Linked DNA regions of Arabidopsis thaliana. The protein of the gene in region 1 interacts with the protein of each later gene in a pairwise test. Each region holds a gene or a part of one and is shown on either strand. Other genes may lie near its edges.

Region 1 (3,347 bases):
GCTTATTAGGCTCTGCCAAGTATGCTCCAGGCTTGGTGGTGGCAACTTGCAAGGCTCATTGGCCAATTCCTTCTTGTTCTGATTTGAGGTTCTTACTTTTAATAATCCTTCTAAAAATAGATCAAAGTTTGGATTTTGGATGTGGGTAGAGATCAAAATAAGTAATTTCTCTAGCAGTCAAAAGAATGTGCGGAGATAAGATATGGACCACTTTCTACTCTTGTATTTCCTACACCGTATGATTTGTCTTGTGGGAACACACTCGGTTCACACAAAACAAAGGTGGCCCTTGATCTGACCCAACACAAGAACTCGTATCCAACATTTTTTTACCAAATTCTCTCAAAAAACAAAAATAAAAAGCATTATTGGAAAAATATACTCTTGACAATAATGGAAAGTAAAATAACCTGGCCCCTTAATTAATGGCGGAGATGATGATAAATTAAAATTGATGGTAATGAATTTCTTTTATCATTAGTAATGATTTTTTTTTTTAATCCAAAATTAATTAGAACTCTTAATTAGAGTTCATAAGAGTCATTCCTGAAAAATGTTGTTTACATAAGTGATATGATGCGGTTGGACACGAACTTTATGTGCCAAATTATCCGTTTTGACATTTGCACTATTCGTAATAATTTTTGATATATATAAATTATATAATTATGATGTGAATTTTTGTGTGTTTTTTTGTTGAAATATTTATTTTTTGGTGTATTTGTTGAAAAAAAAAAAAAAAAAACTGAATCAAGAGAAACGAAAATGGTAGAAAATTTTCAATTAATCGGATTTGAAAAGTATATAGTAAAACTGACATTTTTGTTTATCTACATAAAAAGATCAAAATCTAAAGGAATCGAAAAAAGGAAATTTACGAAAGAAGAGGAACTCTAATAATTTGATCGGAATCTTGATCTTGATCTTGATCTTCTTCACCACAATCATAAACAGATCTAACCAAAACCAACTGATCTTCCAAGTATCTCTGAAGCAAACCAGCTTCTTCCGGTTCATCAAACCCGCCGCAACCACATCCTTCTTCACATCTCCGGAGCCTCAAATCATCTTCCTCGGCGGTGGATTTAGCAAACCAAGGATGACGACTACGGAGACGACTAAAGATCTCGACGGCGCAGAGGATTGGGATTGAGGCACAGAGGATTGGGATTAGTAATGGAGAACAGAGGAGAAAGAAAACGAAACGGCTCCGTCGTGTACGAAGCCAAAAGACGTCGGTCAACATAATGGTGACGACGGCGCGTGAAGAGTCATGGCTGGAGTAAATGGGGAGGAGAGGAGGTCGTGGGTTGTACGACACGACTTTGGTAAATGAGTGGGATCATGGAGAAGCTTCTTTGGCACATGACTTTGTTCTTTTTATTTGACTTTTTTATATACTTGTGTTTGGTTTTTGTCATGTGACTGTTTTTTACTTATTTACAAAATTTGATAAATCTGTTTGTTATATGAGCAAGACCAGTTTGGAGGAAAGTTATTATGAAATACAAAGAGTCGGAAAGTACAAGAACATTTCTGAAGACAGATAAGCTAACGAGTACAAAAACATTCCTGGAGACAAGATTAAAGAAGGTAAACAAAGGAGAAAAAACTCGAGCAAACAAACTACATAATATCTATCAATATTTCCCGAATCGGAATTTAGAAACTCAAAAAATATTTACAAAACTAAAACTAAAATTTAAAACAAATCTGAGACATACAAAACACACAAACAAATTACAATACAAAAAATCTCTTTTACCATAAGTTAGAACTGAATGAAAGTAGTCACGTGCGACCTTCATTGTAAAACTCCGGAGAAGAGCCATGGAGACGGTGGGACACATCCAAAACCTAGAGATTCAAATATCGTTTCTTATCTAGTTTTGTGCTGATTAGACTTATCTATTTTGGAGAAAAAAAATGTTATAACCCGAATTGGATTTTCTCTTTGAGAAAGTGTTAATAGATCGTGTTTGGATCAACCGTTTGATTGCGGTTAACGATTGTAAAATGCGATTATCAATTTCAAACGGAAGTTGAGAAGCTTAATTGATTTTAGTGATTTAGGTGGAATTATATACATTGGGAGAAAAATGGAATAGGGCATAGGCTGAAAGTATGGGAAATCCTAGTGGAAAAGCTAAATTACAGGGGGCCTCCTACAGCCCAAAAACATTAATCGGTATAAGTTTGATCATCGATCCAAAAAGGAAATCATTTTTGGACTATTGACCAAAAACAATATTATTTTGGAATTAATTATAAATTTAGAAATTAAAAAGGAAGATTATGAAAACTATCATATCTTTGAGTTTTCATTTGAAAACTACATTTTCTTTGTGTTTAATAAAACTTAATTTTTAATATCTAAATGACAGTTTTGTCCATATTTAAAATAAAAGTTGTTTACTTAATAAATTAAAACAATATTTAGAAAGAAAAAAAATCGTAATCTTAATTATTTTTTCAACTATTTTTGAGATAAAAACAGTTTATTTATTTTCTATATTAAAATTTAATTAGATAATATCTAAAAATATTTTAAAGTCTCTCACTTAAGATATTTTCAAGTGTTTGAAACACAATTTTGAATTTTCAATAGACAGGATCTTAGATTATTTTTTAATTTATTTTTCTTTTGTTTTAGGACGAAATTTTGTTTAAATATTTAAAATAGGAACGGTTATCTTTAAAAATGTAAAATATATTAAATATTAATTTAAAATTTAAAATTTATGGAAATTTTCAGTTTTAAGTTTAAATTCATTTTAATTATTATGAAATATTAATGAGGCAATTTTAGTAATTTTATATACTTAAATTTAGTTTTTAAAAGAGGAAAAAGGATAGGGTATTATTCAAATGAAAACTCAAAAAATAGGGCATTTTTGTTACAAGAAAATATTATTTTCTGCAAACATTATATAAAATTCTGTATTGTTGACATATCTTAAAACAATGATTCATTTCTATATAAATAAAATATAAATATTCAACCAAAATCATAATTATTTTTAGTAATTTGTGGTACAACAACAAAAATATTCGTAATCATCATAATCGAACATGCATAAACCAAGAGTTTCATGTGAGAACTCAGGCGGTCCACATCGACTCCTACATTCGTAGCTATCTCGGCACCGACCTCTGTAAACACACTCGCTAGGTCCAACTTGCATTCTTTTCACTACTATTAATCGCCAAAACAAATCAATAATAATCATTAGTTACTATATTTTTTCCAAGAAATTATGTATTAAATATCGTCTACGAATTTGAAAAGAGAGACATGTATAGCAAAAGTTTAGGTGAAAAGAGAGAAAAATTTGACATAACAACAA
Region 2 (3,931 bases), on another chromosome or scaffold:
GTTCTCTGCTTAAAGCTTTTACCTGTTTTGCATGGTCAATTGTCATCAACGAGCTCTATATTGTGATATGAACTACATATAGCATAAATGATTAAAACACGATACTGATCATCACGAAATATGCTCTTGACCATTATTTTACTGAAAACCCATTGCAGATGAACATGCCATCATCCACTTCATTATCTCCTGCGGGTACCTCAAAAAGAAATGTCAGACCCGAAACCTCAAATTCTGGGTTTGGGAGCGGGAATAAAACCGGCGGTTGGACTTCACCATTCATGTCACCGGGGAAATGATGCAAAAAAAGTTGGAGTATATCATTCATCTGATCTGCTGAGCAAGATTATGTGTGCCTTTGGGTCTAAACTGTGATTTCTGCAGTGAAAAGCTCTAGACTGAGGTTGAAGATCTGAATGGAGTTTTTCCATGAACAGCTTACTGTTTGACAAAAGGCATGAAGATTATGTTTGCTTTCCTTCAAGATTCTCACAAATGACTGACTTCAACCTTTGTATAAAATCTTGCAACCGGGCGTGTAATTTGGTTCTTGTGATTCATTCTCCCAAGTTTTCTTCTATAAAACTTTGTTCGTATTTCTGTACGTAGTTCCCTGTGTTGGGGCATAACCTGGGTTTGCTGTGTCATCAACATTGTTTGCAGAAAATCAAGAGCAAAGCATGAGCAGCTTCAGCAGAGATGCCTTCAAAGGCTTGAGTCAAGAGTTGCTTGTGGCAGGGACATGTCACCATCAAGCTAATGTGCAGCTGACGAGAACGTAAAAGGATAAGCTATGGCTAGCTTCTGGAATGCTCCGAGAAACACTTCCCCCTTTTTTTTTCTCTGAATTTCCTATTCAGTTTAATGGTATTCTGTGTTTGATTTTTCTTACTCGATTTTGTGCATTGAAAAAAATTATATCAAAAAGCTTGACTTGATCCAAACATGCATTTTCAATTGCTATTATTAAAAAAAAAAAACGTATAAAATTGTAGTCTCAATATTGAAATACAAACACCTAGAATTGATCGATTTGGTAGAGAACTAGTTAGTGGATTAAATTTGGGTTGGCTGATTTTCGAGCCATAAACTATTTCGATTCTCAGCTTTCACACCCGGACTTTTGGGCCTTTAAATTTCCACCATCAACTTTCATATTCCCAAAATTACATCATCTATTTTTGGATTCATGCTTAAACATACATTTCCAATTGAACCATTCATTTAACCGGGATTAACCACAAATCCGCGTTTACTGTACCGCGATTGCGATTAACCCAACTAATACCCAGACCCGTTAAGAAAACGACGTCGTTTTCATTTCGTTTAACTCATCAAAAAGAGAAAGAAAACGACGTCGTTTTCATTCTTCTTCTTTAACTCTCAAATCGATTTAGTCGTTCTTCTTTAATCTCGACACTGTGAAATTAGGGTTCTTGAGAGAGAAAGACAAAAGGGGATTTGGGGTTTTCTTCTTCGGTTCGAATTTTTGGGTCTCGATTTGGGTTTCGAATAGGGAGAAATGAAGAATTGGTGGGAGGAAAGATTGATTTACCAAAGCGATCCAGATGACCCCGATTTCGAACCTCCAGAGAGTGACATTGAAGCCGACGATGGAAGTGATAGTGGTGATAGCGGAGTCGAGGAGGACGAAGCCACCAGAATCGAGGGAGAGGACGTCGGGATAGATGGAGACAGAGCTTCTGATGGAGAGGAAAATAGAGAAGACGATGGTGACATAGCGTCTGATGGAGACGTCAATCTAGAAGACGATGGAGACAGAGATGAAAGTCAAAAGAAGAGGACTACCAAATCGATTTGAGAGTTAAAGAAGAAGAATGAAAACGACGTCGTTTTCTTAACGGGTCTGGGTATTAGTCGGGTTAATCACAATCGCGGTACAGTAAACGCGGATTTGTGGTTAATCCCGGTTAAATGAATGGTTCAATTGAAAATGTATGTTTAATCATGAATTCGAAAGTAGATGATGTAATTTTGAGGAATATGAAAATTGATGGTGGAAATTTAAGGGCCCAAAAATCCGGGAGTGAAAACTAAGAATCGAAATAGTTTATGACTCGAAAATCAGCCAACCCATTAAATTTTCGAACCTTCATCATTTTGCAGACCCCAAAAACGGAAATCATCAAATCATCCACCGTGCCAGCGTGACATTACAAAATCACGTAAATACCCTCGTGTTTGTTTATAAGGTAAAAAAAGATTGGCGGACCCAAAATGGTGCAGTAGTTAGGTGTACAAATTTTTTTTTGAAGGATCACTACTACGGCTCAAACAAGCCTGGGTCCATGTCACTACCACCGATGTCAGTCAAACAAAAATAATAATATATGTTTTTAAGTTCCTCTAATTTCAATCTTCTAAACAACAACCCTAAATCCTTATCTCTATCCTTGCGCTTGATCCAGATTCGGTTCTGATTGGAGCTGCCATGGAACGCATCATCGGCGGCAAGTACAAGCTCGGACGGAAGATCGGCGGTGGTTCGTTCGGAGAGATTTTTCTAGGTTTTGTGTTCTCCTCTGTTCTTGTCCCTTTGGTTTTCCGAGTTTGCTTTTTTATTTGAAATTGACGCTCTTCTCTTCTGTTTGTTGTTTTCGCAGCTACGCACGTCGATACCTTCGAGATCGTAGCTGTTAAGATCGTAAGTCCCAGCTCAATTTGCCTTGAGACGAATTGAATCCATCCAATCTGGAGATTTGATTTGGATCTGCTATGTCTCTTAATTGATTTTGTTTGAATTGCTTTACTCTAAAATTGAGCAAGGTTTTAAACTCGGTGCTTTTTAGCTGCAATATATTCTTCAAGCTAACACTTGTTTTTAATTCAATCATTTTCTCTTGCAGGAGAACAGTAAAACAAAGCATCCTCAACTTCTCTATGAAGCTAAGCTATATAGAATTCTTGAAGGAGGAAGTATGATTCTCTTTCCTCTCTTTTCTCAGTTGTTGGACATTGGAGGGATTCATTAGCAGTACAATACTAATTTTTATGTTATGTGTCAGGTGGAATTCCGCGCATAAAATGGTTTGGAGTTGATGGAACAGAGAATGCTTTAGTGATGGATTTGCTCGGTCCAAGTCTCGAAGATCTTTTCGTCTACTGTGGGAGGAAATTCTCACCAAAGACAGTCTTGATGTTGGCTGATCAAATGGTATGGCATGACTTTCAACTATTCATTAGGCTATTTATAATATCTGTTGACTTATACATTGATTATCTAATGTGCTTCCGATTTTCTTATCCCGCTGTTACAGCTAACAAGAATAGAATTTGTACATTCGAAAGGATATCTGCATAGAGATATTAAACCCGATAACTTCCTCATGGGCCTAGGTCGGAAAGCAAATCAGGTATATTTCTGCAACTTCTTATCTTCATCAGATGCCATAAGTAGAGTATGGTATGATTGATAAGTCTCATTTTTCAGGTTTATCTAATTGACTTTGGACTTGCCAAAAGATATCGGGATGCCAACACCAACCGCCACATCCCTTACAGGTATTGTGGCCTTGGTTCAATATACAGATTGTAAATGATCTATCTGTTTTTAAGTTTTACGGTCACGTTAATCATTATACAACTTATTTCCTTTATTCGGCTATATTCAGGGAAAACAAGAATTTAACAGGAACTGCACGATATGCAAGTTGCAATACACATCTTGGAATTGGTAAGAAATGCTGGCATTCTTTATCCTTATGTAAAAGTAAATCGCTTTTGCTCATATTTTGGGTTCTCTTCACAGAGCAAAGTCGACGGGATGATCTAGAATCGCTGGGATATGTGCTTCTGTATTTCCTAAGAGGAAGGTGTGTTGTCTTTTTGAAAGAAACTAGTTAACATTATGTTATTTCGCAGGGTATTTCTATTCCTTGTTTTTAGAGATTTACTTAACTGTTTTTTGTGT

The links.
Region 2: the proteins of AT1G35430 (region 1) and ckl3 interact in a two-hybrid assay, tested with the Arabidopsis thaliana proteins (one large-scale study listed by BioGRID).

Annotation. Positions count from the first base shown.
Region 1 is NC_003070.9:13,029,786-13,033,132, forward strand, and holds AT1G35430 (uncharacterized protein), read right to left. Parts: upstream 1,591-3,347; 5' UTR 1,247-1,590; coding exon 875-1,246; 3' UTR 768-874; downstream 1-767. Other genes in the region: AT1G35435 (Putative membrane lipoprotein), read right to left, coding at 3,021-3,196.
Region 2 is NC_003075.7:14,248,899-14,252,829, forward strand, and holds the start of ckl3 (casein kinase I-like 3), read left to right. Parts: upstream 1-2,236; 5' UTR 2,237-2,452; coding exon 2,453-2,528; intron 2,529-2,624; coding exon 2,625-2,665; intron 2,666-2,867; coding exon 2,868-2,937; intron 2,938-3,026; coding exon 3,027-3,175; intron 3,176-3,278; coding exon 3,279-3,374; intron 3,375-3,451; coding exon 3,452-3,522; intron 3,523-3,632; coding exon 3,633-3,694; intron 3,695-3,769; coding exon 3,770-3,833; intron 3,834-3,931. Other genes in the region: ckl4 (casein kinase I-like 4), read left to right, coding at 159-299; AT4G28870 (mutator transposase MUDRA protein), read left to right, coding at 1,523-1,822. UniProt on the Arabidopsis thaliana protein: Protein kinase involved in blue light responses (e.g. hypocotyl elongation and flowering) by phosphorylating CRY2 to reduce its stability.